2 linked regions of the Pelodiscus sinensis genome follow. The protein of the gene in region 2 interacts with the protein of the main gene of each other region in a pairwise test. Links are inferred from orthologs where the notes say so. Each region holds a gene or a part of one and is shown on either strand. Other genes may lie near its edges.

The links. The genes of interacting proteins can lie anywhere in the genome.
Region 1: the proteins of ZFYVE19 (region 2) and VPS4B interact in binary tests that used the Homo sapiens proteins (3 or more experiments, as listed by UniProt). The two-hybrid records come from large-scale screens. The link is inferred for Pelodiscus sinensis from reciprocal best matches to the Homo sapiens genes ZFYVE19 and VPS4B.

What each region holds. Positions count from the first base shown.
Region 1 is NC_134712.1:117,746,582-117,753,771, reverse strand, and holds the start of VPS4B (vacuolar protein sorting-associated protein 4B), read right to left. Parts: upstream 3,286-7,190; 5' UTR 3,139-3,285; coding exon 3,115-3,138; intron 1-3,114.
Region 2 is NC_134714.1:63,499,585-63,506,974, reverse strand, and holds the start of ZFYVE19 (abscission/NoCut checkpoint regulator), read right to left. Parts: upstream 3,334-7,390; 5' UTR 3,032-3,333; intron 2,626-3,031; exon of another isoform or gene 2,481-2,625; 5' UTR 2,349-2,480; coding exon 2,295-2,348; intron 1,051-2,294; coding exon 929-1,050; intron 75-928; coding exon 21-74; intron 1-20. Other genes in the region: DNAJC17 (dnaJ homolog subfamily C member 17), read left to right, coding at 3,615-3,692. UniProt on the Homo sapiens protein: Key regulator of abscission step in cytokinesis: part of the cytokinesis checkpoint, a process required to delay abscission to prevent both premature resolution of intercellular chromosome bridges and accumulation of DNA damage.

The DNA.
Region 1 (7,190 bases), on a different chromosome or scaffold from region 2:
ACCAGCAAATAAGCAGAGGGTATTGTGCCTTTGAAAAATCTTCCATAATAAGGAATTTGTAGAAAGTCTATCTTGGAGACTCAGTTGTGGACTGCAAGCTTACAGTACAAAACCTCAAAAAGTTGTAAACCATCTAACAAAGTCGCTACCCCTCAGTTAATCCAGTTTCATATCCTTGGTATTTTAAGTGTCTTTCGGGGGGATGGGAGGGAGGAGGGCAAGTAAAGGCTGAATTCCTAACAAGCAAAGAGGAAGAGGCCTTCAAACATCAGAAAGTTGTATAAAAAGGGATTTTTTTGTTTTTTCCAGATTACTTTTTAACAGCTATTGTTATGTTTGTGTATGGACAAGAAGAACAGATAATGGATAATTTTACATTTCTATTTGGTGTTATTTAGCTCATGCCAATATAAATACAGCTATTTAACAGCTAACAGTTTGCTCAGAGTAACTATACACATGTGGTAAATGTTACTATAGTCAGGTCTCATACATAGTTTTTTTCTCTGTTAACTGTACTAGCAAAGTGATCAAATGGATCATGAAAATTCAGCAATAAGGCTGCTTCTAGGAGTTTGAACTACTGTATGGATTGGTCCTTGGTCTCGTGCATATAGCCGTATCAGGATTTGGGCTCTCTAACACATAGAAAACAAAGCTGATACACAGCAGAAGCATCTAGGGATCAGAAGGGAAGCAGCAGTAGAGTTATTGTTTGGTTGGTTTTTACTCAATTGCACTGGTGCAAAAATATTTTGATTAAATTAAACTACAAGAACTAAAAGAACTTGTTTCAAAAGGAAGACCTTTTAAACAACGAGCCACCATGTGTGAGAAAAATATTGAATTGGTTTCTCATTAAAACAATGAGCAAAATCTTCCATTCTGGGTGGCATGGGCATATGAAAAGACTAGCTGTTAAAGCAAATCACCAGCAAGCAAGGGAGCTGTGTTACCCTCTGTTCTGCTCCTGCCAAAAACCAAAAAGGGGATGTTAAAACAGTTTACTGGTTAAATGATAGCACTTAACCAGTTAACTATTTTAATCTAGGCCCTGCCACCCGGGCCTGCCATAGCTGCAGGGTTCTACCACCCAGTCACGCTGCGGCCAGGGTTGCTCTGGCTCAGCACGGCTGGCCTCCACCGGAGTTAACTGGCAAAGGAGGGTTCACAAGATAGCATACCAGTAAGCCTCATGCTTATCAGTATGCATTTTGGTTAACATCCCTCAAACAAAACTACAAAACTCTACAGAATTCATTGGCCACCTCTGAAATCCACTTAAAATAGCCTGAAAACTAGAACAAATGGCCCAGGTCTTCCCTTTTATAAACACAGGAGAATATAACAAAAACAAAATGTTAGATTGCCAGAGACTGCAGCTCATTAATTGTTTTGAGGAAAAAGGAAGGCTCTTAAGAGCTATGATAGCTCAAATAATAGTGAATCAATATATAAAAAGAATGGAAACTAGGACTAGGTATGTTAAATTGGCTACACAGTTAGCTGATGATGGATATTCCATTGCAGTTTGACTACCTGATTAGTCGATAAGGGGGATGCTCGCTATCCCCACTGCAGCTCTGCAGTTTAAATGTAGTAGGAGGAGCTGGGCGTGCAGTAGCCTGGCTCCTAGTACGTTTAAACTGCAGAGCTACAGTAGGGTTAGCTCCTGGGGGTGGTGTAAGCAAGGACTATGCAGTCCTAGCTTGTGCTGGCTTTGGAATGCTGCAGGTCTGCCCTCAACCCTATGGAGACGGTGCTGGGGTGAACCAGGTTTTAAGCTGACTTCCTGCCCTTGCTGCCTCTGACACAGAGGCAGCAGAGGCGGTGGGGGGCGGGAGAGAGAGTAGTTGATTTATCAGGTAGTCAAATACTCCCTTACATCCCTAACTAGGGCCTAGTTTACCACCAGTTGTGTCACAGTACAGCTATTTCAGTTATAAGTATGATTTTAAAAAAAGTCTTATGAGTTATATAACTGCCTTTATAACCACTATATCTGCTTTCATACTAGCTTTAACTATACCAGCACAACTACCGTGTGAAGCCAAGGAGAGAGAAAACATGGTGCAAAAGAAAAAGAAAAGTGACTATAGAGCTAATAGAGCAGAAGATACCTTAACAATTACAGATCTCACCTCCTCTAACCTCATATATAATGTAGCATGTGAGATGGATGCTTTTTTGAAGTACCAAAAAACAAGAAAGAACTAATTGAAAAGTGGGGAGGTAAATCTCCATCCTGGAATAGGATACGAGAGGGCAGAGAACATCAGTGCTTGCAGTCAGTGAACCGTGCAGCTAATGGACAGAGGGGACAAACCCCCAAGCATCCTGAAGAGCCCTGTGCTGGGCAGGAATATTTGCTTTTGACAATTTTGCCCACAAAAAGCTCATGATTATAGATATCTTTTGGTTAGTCTCTAAGGTGCCATAGGGCCACTTGTTTTTAAATTTAAGGACTAATACGACTACCCCTCTGAGATTGATTAAAAGCTTCAGCAGGTAGCCGAGTTAGGCTGCACAGGATAAACTTAAAAAACAACAAATAGTCTGGTAGCACTTTATAGACTAACACCACATGTAGATGGTATCATCAGCTTTTGTGGGTTTAGCCCACTTCTTCAGAGGACCGGAGTTTTCATCTGAAGGGGGTTGTGCCCATGAAAGCTCATGATACCATCTACATGGTTTGTTAGTCTATAAAGTGCTGCCAGACTATTTGTTGTTTTTTAAGATTCGACTGATTACATTGACTACGGTATTTCAAAAGTGCATGAACCAAGCAATAGGAAAGGCTTTCCCACAGGCTGACCAGATGAAGAGCCTCCTGCTCATCTACGTTCCCCTTGTAACACGGGGGTCGAGGGCACGTTGCTAACCACGGGTGAGGCAGCCCGGTTTCGGGTCCCCCCCCCCCCCCACAGAATGACAGTGTCACAGTCTCTCTCCCCTTCACACACAGCGAGTCTCACTCGCGCTGTTTAGCCCGTTCGAGACAGAACTCAAGGCGACAGCGCGTCCCCCGACACCGGAAGCCCCGCTCCCATCCCCCCCCCGGGCCCCGCCCCCCAGGGGAGCGCTGGGCGGGACCCCGGTCCCTCTCCCCACCTGCAGGTTGGAGGTCGCGGCCATGTCGGGGGGGCGGCGCCGCCGTGTCCGGTCCCTGGAGCTGCTCCCCGCCGCCCGGACCCCGCGCTACTTCCGTATCCAAAAGGCGGCCGGGACCCCGCTGCGCTTCCGCCCCGCGCCCGCGTGACTGCGCCGTACGTCACACGTCACGTCACGTCACGCAGCCGCTCCCCGGGCTGAGGTTGGGAAGGGCGGATGCGAAGGGAAAGGGCCTTGTGCGCAGGCGCACGAGTGTTTCCCATTCCACGGCTTGCTCCCGCCTACGCAGGGAGCGCCGAGGTGTGGCCGGGCCCGAGCCGGCCGCCTGCCTGTCAATCAGGGCTGGGCCCCGCCCGCTCTCCCTGCCGCATGTTTGCCTCGCGCTCCCCGTCTACGGAGCCTAGTACTGTAATGGCCCTGGCCCCTGGCAGTGTCCGCGCCTCCCTGTGCGCCCCCTGCAGCCTGGGCGTGGAGCCGCCTCGGCCTGGGGCGCGCGCGGCCACTCCCCTTCTGTGACCTCTCCCACCGGGCTGCCCCTAGCGGTGGGGGCGGGCGCTGCACTCAGGCTTCAGGGGCAGGAGCTGTGGGAGGCATGTCCAGAGCTGCGGGGTGAGGGGCAGGGAGGCACCGGGGAGGGGGCCTTCCTTGGAGAAAAGGGCTTGGGCGAAGAAAGGGAGTGGGGGCGTTTGGGAAAGGAGTTGGAGTGTATGAGAGTAGAGCAGGGGGGAGTGTCCCAGCCCCACACACCCCTAGGGATTGCCCTCAGGAGCATAGCCCACAGAGGGATGGATGGGACATAGGGCTGGCCACCAGAGCTGGACTGCCCCATATGCAGCATTCAGCTGCCTAGGGCACCATGGAATTTAGGGCAACCCCAAAACCGGTTAACTATCTCTGCTTCCAAGTGCCAACTCCCTGGCTCCCATTGGCAGTGAACTGTGGTCAATGGGAGCTACAGTTGCAGGCATGCAGAGATCCTCTGGGTTACCCGTCTAGGAGCTGCTGCCAGAAGGGTGTCCAGTTGCTTTTGGGAGCTTTCCAAGGGAAGTGCTGCCCCCTTACCTCCTGCTGCATCCCATCCTACTGCCTTAGCCCAGAGTCAGCACCTGGCTTGCAAACTCCCTACTGGAGCCTGTACCCTCTCCCGCACCCAAACTCCCACCCAGAGTCTGACCGCCTTCACTGCCCCCTGCCCTCTTCCCCCACCTGCTCTAGCCTAGTAAAAGTGAGTGAGGGTCGGAGGGAGTGAGCAACAGAAGGAGGGGAGATGGAAAGAGAGGGTACTGGGCCCTGGAGAAAGGGTAAGATATGGGTATGACCTCAGTGAAGAGTCAGGGGGTGAGGCAAGGATCTTTGGGCTTGTGCAATTACAAACCTAGCAACCCTGCCGGGTGGGCATATCAAAGTCCTAACTGTGCCAGAAGAGCACACCCAGCAGTGCAGCCACCAGCTTGCTTGGCATCAGCCAACACAGGCGTAACGTTGCCCAAATGTCACGCGGACCATGTCGGCAGAGGAACAGTTTGTGCATGCATAGGTGCCCACTGACTGTTCTGTCCTGGGGCACAGAGTTGCTGTCAGGGGGCCTGGTTGTGCTTATGTGGGTTTTCATGTAGGCTCATGGATCAATAACCAAATGGACCCATCTGCATGTCAACCTCCTGCAAAACTGGGAAAAGGCTAGGGTTGCCAGTTTTGGCTGGACATATTCCTGGAGGTATCATCACATAGGATACTCTTTAATTAAATATTAATCTTTTTATGTCCTGGAGATCCAGAACAATCTTGGGAAGGTGGCAATCCTAAATTAGCAGGGCTGAACAAATACACTCACCCGCTTGCCTGTGGCGAGTAGATTTTACCAGCTGGCGAGTGCAGGGGCGGACTGGCCCGGTGGGCCGTTGTGACGGGCCGGTGGAAGCCCGCACTACGGGCGGCGTAGCCCCATCCGATCTGCTGGCCGGCGGAGGAGCAGAGCGCCGCTGGGAAGAGGGAAGTGTGGCGATTCTTGCCACCGGGCTGCCTGCGTGCAGGTCCGGCGCGAGGAGGCAGGGCGGGACACTAGGACGCTGGTGTGACCTGGCCCTGCTGATTTTAAAGGGCTGCGGCAGCTTGGCTCTGGCCGTGTGTCCCTGGGAGCTGGCTGCGGCGCATGGCGCAGCCAGGGCCCGCCCCGCCGGCTCCAGTCCTGCCACGGCCCCAGCCCCTCTTTGTCTCTGCGCCGCCCGTTCCCCACGCCGACCCTGCTCACCTGCACACTGGACCCCTGCTCTCCCTCTTCCCTGTGACCCTTTGGCTCTGCGCCACCCTTACACCCTGCACCCTGTTCCTCCCGATCCCTGCCCCCCCAGGTCTGTGCTGCCCATTCCCTGCACTGCCCCTAGAACCCAATCCTCTGCCCCTACTGTTGCCCGCGTCCCATTCTCTGTGCCTACCCTGCACCCTGCTCCCTCTGATCTCTGCCCCCCCAACTCTGTGCTGCCCGTTCCCTGCACTGCCCCTAGACCCCGATCCCTCTGCCCCTCCCGTTCCCTGCGTCCCATTACCCATGCCTCCACCACACCCTGTTCCCCCCGATCCCTGCGTCCCACTGGCTCTGTGCCTCTGGGGGAGGGGAAGGGGCTGGGCTGGGCTGGATCACCTTCTACATTGGTGGTCTCCAACCTTTTGAACCACAACATCACTTTTTCAATTTAAGTGCAATGTAAAAACTACCTCAATCCCAAATACCCTTGCTCCACTTCCTTCCTGCCTCTTCTCTGAGACCCCACCTCTGCTCCACCCCTTCCTGAGGCCTCACCCTACTCACTCCATCCTCCTTCCTCCCCCATCATCATTCACTTTCACCTGGCTGGGGTAGGGGGTTGGGGTGCAGGCTCTGGTCTTGGGCCAAAGGGTTTGGATTGTGAGAAGGGATCCGGGCTTAGCCCAGGAGGGATTTCAGCATGCAAATGCTGGGAAGGAGTTTGGGTGCAGGGAGACTCATGTCTGGGGCAGGAGGTTGGATGTAGGAGGAGGTTCAGGGCTGGGACGGGTTCAGGAAGCAGGCTCTGGCTGGGCACCACTTAACTGAGATGGCTTCCGGGAAGTGGAGCAGTGGGGTTCAGGCAGGTTTACTCCTTCCCTGGCCCTGCACCACTCCTGAAAGCAGCTGGCATGTACAGCAATGGCTCCATGGTGCCATGTGCTGCCCCTCATCTACAGGCACTGAGCCCACAGCTTCTACTGACCATCGTTCCTTCTTATTGATCAATGGGAGCTGCAGGAGTGGTGTCTGCAGGGAAGGACAGAGCCCCTGCTCTCTCAGGGGCTGCAGGGACATGACAGACACTTCCAGGAGCAGCAGTTACTGTAGGAATAATGACTCGAGCCATGACAGGTTAGGCATTTTAGAACTCAAAGAATTACATTTAAGCGTAAGAGAGAGATGAAAATTATGAAATGCACAGACCAGTCAAAAACCAAAAATAACACTGCAAGCAGTAAAAGAAGTAACAACAACCCCCCACATATGTGCTGGGCCGGGAGATGAGAGTGAAGGACAGTGTGTGTTTGGGAGAATAACAGACACACACGCACACTGTGTGAGAGTGACAGAGATTTGCATTGCCAAGCTCCCTCCATCCCCTTCTCTCTGAGTGGAGATAGGGTACCGGAATGGAGGGAATAGGGACACCCTGACATCAGCACCTACTCTTCTCCCTTCCATGCCCTGCACAGCAAGCAGGAGGTTCCCAGGGGTTCAGCTCTAAGGCAGAGGGCAGGAGCAGCATGACAGTGGGTGGAGAGGCAACTGAAGTGCCAGCACTTGATAGCTTCCTGGCCAAACCAGTCAGGATCACCTGTCAGAGGCTCCAAGATCTACTGGTAGATCCCGATCTACTGGTTGATGACCACTGTTTTACGACAAAGGATAAATGGGCACAAATCAGACATCAGGAATGGTAACACACATAAACCTGTAGGGGAACATTTTAACCTGCCTGGGCACTTAGGGTGCATCTAGACTACATTCCTCTTTCGAAAGAGGAACGTAAATGAAATAAAAAATGCAAATGAAGTGCAGATTTACAGAT
Region 2 (7,390 bases):
GACTAACAATCAGAACTCACTTTTTGTAGTTCTCTGGCGGAGACCATTTAGCTGTTTTAGTCTGAGACACTCCTCTGGAAAGAAAAAACAGATAAATCTCAACTGTAAAACACAGACCTGATTTAGAGGTCAAGATAATGGTACAGCTGCATAGCTTCTCTCTTTCAAATCTATACAAACTGTGATGGCCATTGCCACGGCACTTGGCATTCTAGTACCTGGCCAAAATTCACTTGGTTTAAAATGTGTCATTAGTATTCTATAATAAGAGGAACACAAACTCCACTGTAGCTTGCAGATACAAAAAAGCAGGAAATGGAAAGCTTCTCGAGCTCACAATCAGTGATAAGCCTTGGGAAAGAGATGTGCCTTACTACTTTTTCAGAATATAAAATGATATGTGTTTTAAACATTGTAATACAATAATTATATATAATATTGCACAATTATACAATACAATATATAATTATAATATTTTGTAGCATTGTGAGTTACAGGTCTGTAATACCTGTTTATATGCTACAAATATGATCATCTTAACTGTGCTTAACTATTGGTCTGAATAGTGGGCTTTTTCTGTTACAACAAAAATCAATCCCACGGTATGCAACCTTAGGTCTTTAGCTTATATATAGCATCTAGGCCTTTGAAACAATGAAGGTGGGTTCTTTCTTGATTGGAAGTTTTGCTATTAAAACAAACATCTTATCACTAGGCTGCTCAGCTGCTAAGCATTAGTATGGACAGTTGGAACTGAAACCCACATGGTACCAGCTTAAAAAAAAAAAGAGAAAAAGATTATTTGGGATTCCAGTATGCAGATGGTGTGCATGTGGCAGTGTACAGTGGATTTATAGAGGGAAGTGGATCAGCAATCTGCTCTGTATCACTGGAAGCTGAAACACATTGGCCCAACTTGCCATCTTACCTGGTTAGCTCTCCATGACATTGCTTGCACACCTTCTGCTGAGTATTCCCGCAACGGGGAACAATGGCACTAAACCCAAGGCAGCTTGAGCAGAATGCCCGTCCACAGTTCTTGCATCCACACTGAGAAGAAAGAAATAAAGAAGTGAAAAACTTAAAAAACAACAAATAGTCTACTGGTAGCACCTTAACGACTAACAAAACATGTAGATAGTATCATGAGCTTTTGTGGGCGCAACCCACTTCTTCAGAAGACAGGAAATGGAAGTGCAAGTGTCTCATTGCCTGGTTGTAACAATTCTGTGAAATATACCAGAGAGATTCAGGGATATGCACCAGGTCGGAGAAACTTCCACAAAATATTTCAGAGAAATGTCTTTAAAAGAAAAATGAAATATTTGTATGAATAAGAATAGTAGTTGCAGCTACTGTAGCTAGAATACCTAACATACGAGTTTTCAGTGTTTAAGACACAAGCTGATCACCACTAGAGTCAGCAATGCCATTTCCTCCCACAGTAGAGTAAAGGGTTCACTCTTTCCTTTGAAGGATTTGGAGACTATCAGATTACATGGACCACAAGTCTGCACTATTATAGCAATTCCTACATGTTTTAAATACAGAGAGATTACAATGTCTGTCATTAATATGCAATTAAGGAAAACAATGACAGAGACGCACATAAAAAATGTACTTAGAGTCAAACAAGCTTAGCAGGTTTTAACTGTAAAATGTAAAGCAGAGTGGGAGGTGGGGTTAGGAATGTTAAATATCAGTTAAGTGAATAGTCGAGTAACCTCACAAATTCTTATCGGTTACTCGACTATTCTATAGTCACCAGGAGAGGAGCTGGCACTCCACTCCCGAGGAGCCCCATGCCACTCCGTACTGCTGCCTCTGTATCAGAGGCAGCTGCATGGAGTGCCAGGCAGGGAGCCAATTTAAAACCAGATCCCCTCACAGGACCTGGCATGAACTGGAACTGCGCTGGGCTGCCTGCCCGCCAGGCTCTTAATACACTGTAAGTGAAGATCTGCAGCAGGGGGCTGGTCCCTAACCCAGCGTGACCCAGGACTGAAACAGGCTGCTGGCCAGCCTGCTAAAAAATGTACTGGCAAGGTGGGGTGGAGGTGGGGAGGGAAATGCGTGTAGTCTCCAGCATTAACCTATAAGCTTTTGCTTATCGGTTAATCAACTACACTATTACATCCGTAGGTGGGATTACGATTTCTGATATGAGGAACCTCAAATTGTTGGCATTTCAGATTACATTGAGCAAGCACTACCATAAGAAAACTTACTCTACTGCCTAACTGTCTTTTTAGAGAGTCAGATATTTTATCCAGCAGTGTTGAAGAGAGACTTGCCTCTTTTCTGAAGACAGTAAACTTGGATGCACAGCCATAACACCTTCTATCCATAGCGCCAATGGGCAATGCAGGCTCACTCTCTCACAGCTGTACAAAAGGAAGTAGTTTATCCCCTGAAGCTGTTTATTTGTCCAGATAGAGCTGTGCTGGAATATTCTTCTCCTTCAGAAGAGGAATGGAAGACTATTGGGGGAAATGATGAATTATGGTGTATCAGTGGTTGTTTACTTCCTGAACGACTGATTGTAGAAATGATGGTCCCAGATTCTTTCATCAGAGAGAGGAGGAGAAGGGATCAGATCCTTGCTTAACATTTACAAACAAAAACCTTTAATGAAAGCATTGATAATAATAAATAACATTATAATTTGCTGATCTCCTAAATGACTACGTTCTATGTTTACAGCTAAGATGAGATCACCAAAGTGCTCTCCCTCTCCTCCAAATCTCAGCCAGTCTAGCTCGCCTTCTTCTATAAAGCCTATCGGCAATAACATCTACAGCCCGTTGTACTGTACATGTTTGCGTACTTAGGATGCAACCTCTCCAAAGCAGAGATTTAATTCCTGCTTTAACATACTGTGCCATAACACTATTATGTATTTAGCAAACCAGAGGTGCTCCGCGCCATACGCGCACATACACACAAAGATGACAAAAATCCCTGCTCCTAGTCAGAAGCTCCCAGTCCGAACCAGGTGCCATGCAAAGCTGCAATGCTACTATGCACATACTGTAACAACCGGAATCCCAGCGAGAGTCTGGACTCAGAGTCGGTGCAAACCCCGCACAGCCCAGTGTACGGTCCCCAAGCCACGAGGCTCTGCATGTGCCAGCATCCGTCAAGCCCCTCGCCCCGTCGACTCTTGCAGTAGGATCTGATACTCCAGCTGCAGCGCCCGGCAAGGAAACTTTGCTGCCCTTATCCCACTAGCACCCGAGGTAGGCAAGAACAAAGCCATGGCAGCGCACGGCCCGATGGGAGTTGTAGTCCTTACATCCCAGCTATCCCATCCGCAGGGCTATACGGCTTGAAACAAAAAACTAAACTTCCCAAGACAATGCGCATGTCCTGCTGAGCAGAGCCTGCCGGGAGCGGTGATTTTGCCGGTAGGCCAGAGAGGGAACTTCCGGGTGGGCGGTAGACCGCGCGCGGCATTGTGGTAGTTGTAGTTCCGCTTCCTCCTAGGGCTGTAAGAATAGAGGTGAATGTGAGGCTGGAGAGACTACATTTCCCAGCAGCCAGTGGTGCGGGATAGTGGTCAGGCCCAGCGGCGCAGGGGAACCGGTCGGCCGGACAGTGGGGGCGGCGCGGAGATGGCGGTCGATAAGGAGCTGTTGCAGCTGGATCTCTACGCCTTGCTGGGGGTTGGGGAGAAGGCGTCGGAGAAGGAGGTCAGGCCTGGCCGGAGGGGGATGGGACGTCGGGCTCCCGCGGCCCCTGCAGCGCGTGTGGGGCCGCCCAGGGCCTGACCCCACGGGGGTGGCGGCGTGTCCCGCGCGCTCCCTGCCGCCGGTGCGGGAAAGCGCGTGTGGGGCTGCCCCGCCGGGGGTAGAAAAGCGGCAGCCTGTGCAGCGAGTCGTGCGCCAGCTTGAGCCCCCAGCAGCGATGCGGGGCCCGTGTTGGGCGGGGGGAGTGAAACCCCAGAGCGCGGCAAAGCCTTAAGTAACTTGGGTCCCCCTCCGCTGATGCTAGAGACGCCGCGTGGAACTGGGGGAGATGTGGAGATCTTGAGGCACAGAGGCACCGTTGGGGTGCGCCGTAGGGCAAGAGTTACTGGGGTAGATGGTGACCAGTGATAGGAAGGGCGAAGAGGAGGCAGGTGTGATGCATGTAACTTACTTCAGAGCCCTTAGGAACATCTAGTTTGTTGTAATTGTCTGTATGATGTCCATTAAAATCCCATAAATGTTTGCAAGCTTCTATTCACAATACCTGGGCCACTGGCTTTTACTGTATCTGTATCAACCACTGTCTCATCTGAACAGCGCTCTTTTTTCCCCCCAGCAAAGCCACAGTAGTTGGTTCCATTATCGTGGAGCTCATCTGAGTGCTCATCAGAAGGCAGACTTATGTTAAGGATGGATCCAGTGACTTTGCTTTAACAGCCTGTGATTAAAATGTCCTAAAACAAAGATAAAGAATAGAGAAAAAATGGGATTAAAACAAAAGACACTATGCATAATGTATCCAGTCAAATTTGCAAGACATGAACTCAATAGCTACATTTGGGCACAATTTGCCATTCCACATAAAAATTCCTCTAAGTTCTGGGAAGAAGCGAGGGCTGCTTTGTTTCTAGATCTTTGCATTTTGGTGCTGCCTGTGGACCTGCCTGGTCTATATTAGAATAATAGAATCATAGAATAATAGGACTGGAAGGGACCTCGAGAGGTCATCGAGTCCAGCCCCCCGCCCTCAAGGCAGGACCAAGCTCCGTCTACACCATCCCTGACAGATGTCTATCTAACCTGTTCTTAAATATCTCCAGAGAGGGAGAGTCCACCACCTCCCTTGGCAATTTATTCCAATATTTGACCACCCTGACAGTTAGGAATTTTTTCCTAATGTCCAATCTAAACCTCCCCTGCTGCACTTTAAGCCCATTACTCCTTGTCCTGTCCTCAGTAACCAAGAGGAACAAATTTTCTCCTTCCTCCTTGTGACACCCTTTTAGATATTTGAAACCCGCTATCATGTCCCCCCTTAATCTTCTTTTTTCCAAACTAAACAAGCCCAGTTCATAGGTCATGTTCTCTAAACCTTTAATCATTCTTGTCACTCTTCTCTGTACCCTTTCCAATTTCTCCACATCTTTCTTGAAATGTGGCGCCCAGAACTGGACACAGTACTCCAGCTGAGGCCTAACTAGTGCAGAGTAGAGCGGCAGAATGACTTCACGAGTTTTGCTTACAACACACCTGTTGATACAACCTAGAATCATATTTGCTTTTTTTGCAACAGCATCACACTGTTGACTCATATTCAACTTGTGGTCCACTATGACCCCAAGATCCCTTTCCGCCATGCTCCTTCCTAGACAGTCGCTTCCCATCTTGTATGTATGGAACTGATTGTTCCTTCCTAAGTGGAGCACTTTGCATTTCTCTTTATTAAACCTCATCCTGTTTACCTCTGACCATTTCTCTAACTTGCTAAGGTCATTTTGAATTATGTCCCTATCCTCCAAAGAAGTTGCAACCCCACCCAGTTTGGTATCATCTGCAAACTTAATAAGCATACTCTCTATCCCAATATCTACATCATTGATGAAGATATTGAACAGTACGGGTCCCAAAACAGACCCTTGCGGAACTCCACTTGTTATCCCTTTCCAGCAGGATTTAGCACCGTTAACAACAACACTCTGACTACGGTTATCCAGCCAATTATGCACCCACCTTATCGTGGCCCTATCTAAGTTATATTTGCCTAGTTTATCAATAAGAATATCATGCAAGACTGTATCAAATGCCTTACTAAAGTCTAGGTATATGACATCCACCGCTTCTCCCTTATCCACAAGATTCGTTATCCTATCAAAGAAAGCTATCCGATTAGACCAACATTAAGTCTTTATTGATGACTGTGTAACTTTATTTCTCAGTTTAGCCCAGTATTCCTTGTTGTCATGACTGGGCAATCAAAATAACAGGACTCTGTCACACATAACATTTCTTTACCTATTTGTAGACAGTTGCTATGCCTCTATTTGCCCCTTACTCTAGATAGAATATTATTCTGTCATTTTCAAAACTCTTGTAATCATTATTCACCAGTGAATTCTCTTTATTTGCCTCTCTTGAAATGGTTGCATTTCTCCTAGCTGAAGCCTAACTAATACTGTGTTTCACTGTTTATGTAGAAAGGGCCCCTGACTTGCTAGGTACTTTATAGATATAGACTAAAACAAATCCCTGTCCTGAAAAAGTGCAATATAAATCAATAACACAAACACAGGGAATGGAGAAAGGAAACCACGGATTTGGGGGATGGGAGTGAGAGAAGGGCAGAGAGGTGGGAGAAAAGACTATAGAGACTAGGATATGGAACTCTGATTTGGAGCATTCTGTCATATGTTGGTTCCTGGAATTTTAAAATTACGTTTTTAGAAAATGTTTATGGAGAGGTTAGCAGATTGTTAATTGTGTGTATAATCTTGCTTGTTTTCTTTGAGATTTTGCTATTAATTCCCAGTATAACCATTATTGTTTTGGTCAGTGTTGCATTGTGATTCTTAATCATGTTGCTGTATTTGATAGAACAGAAAATATTTGCTTGCTTGCTGACCTCCTTCTGTACTCTAGTCACTGTGCAGTATTTTCTGTTTTGTCTTGTCTTGAACATGTGGGGTCAAATCATGTCCCTGTTGGAGTTAATTGGAAAATTCTCATTGGCTTCAGTGGAGCTGCAATTCACTCATATTTATTTACAGTTCTTTAAATAGATACCATCAACTTGAAATCTAGTCTGTTTAATAAAAGAGTTTAAAAAGTACTAAAACTAGTTTCCTGTACTAAGTCTGCATGAGTCTCTTCAACAACTTTGGGGATTTGCAGTTCCATTTTCCTCCTCCTCCTCTCCCCCCAGCCCTACTTTCTCCTTTATTGTTTTAAAGACCCTCTCAAATAATAGAGGAATCTGACTATAGAAAAGTAAGTGACATTAACTAAATACAGAGTTAACATTAACTTTGTTCAATTGATAAATAATCTTTTACTCTAATTTTCAGTAGGGATATTAAAATGCATTTAAGTAAACATGGGCTGGCAGTTGACTCCTCGAGAGCCAATATGCACTGGAAGCTGATACAGAACCAGCAAAATATGGGGGGGGGGAGGTGGAAGGTGGCTCCCCAGGAGTTGGTACATGTGAGAAGCTGGCTTTTAAGCCAGATACTCATGCATACCAGGAGCCTGCGTGTAACTGTTAAGGTTAAGTGATGAGCCCAGGCTCATCCGTTATCCATGTGCATGGTTACACTTTCACATTCCTAAATTCTCAGTTACAGTAACATTGGTAGGTAAATTTTAGATACAAGTATGATGTTTAAGTTGAAAGGGTCCTTTCAATTAGGTAGAAGTAAAAACTA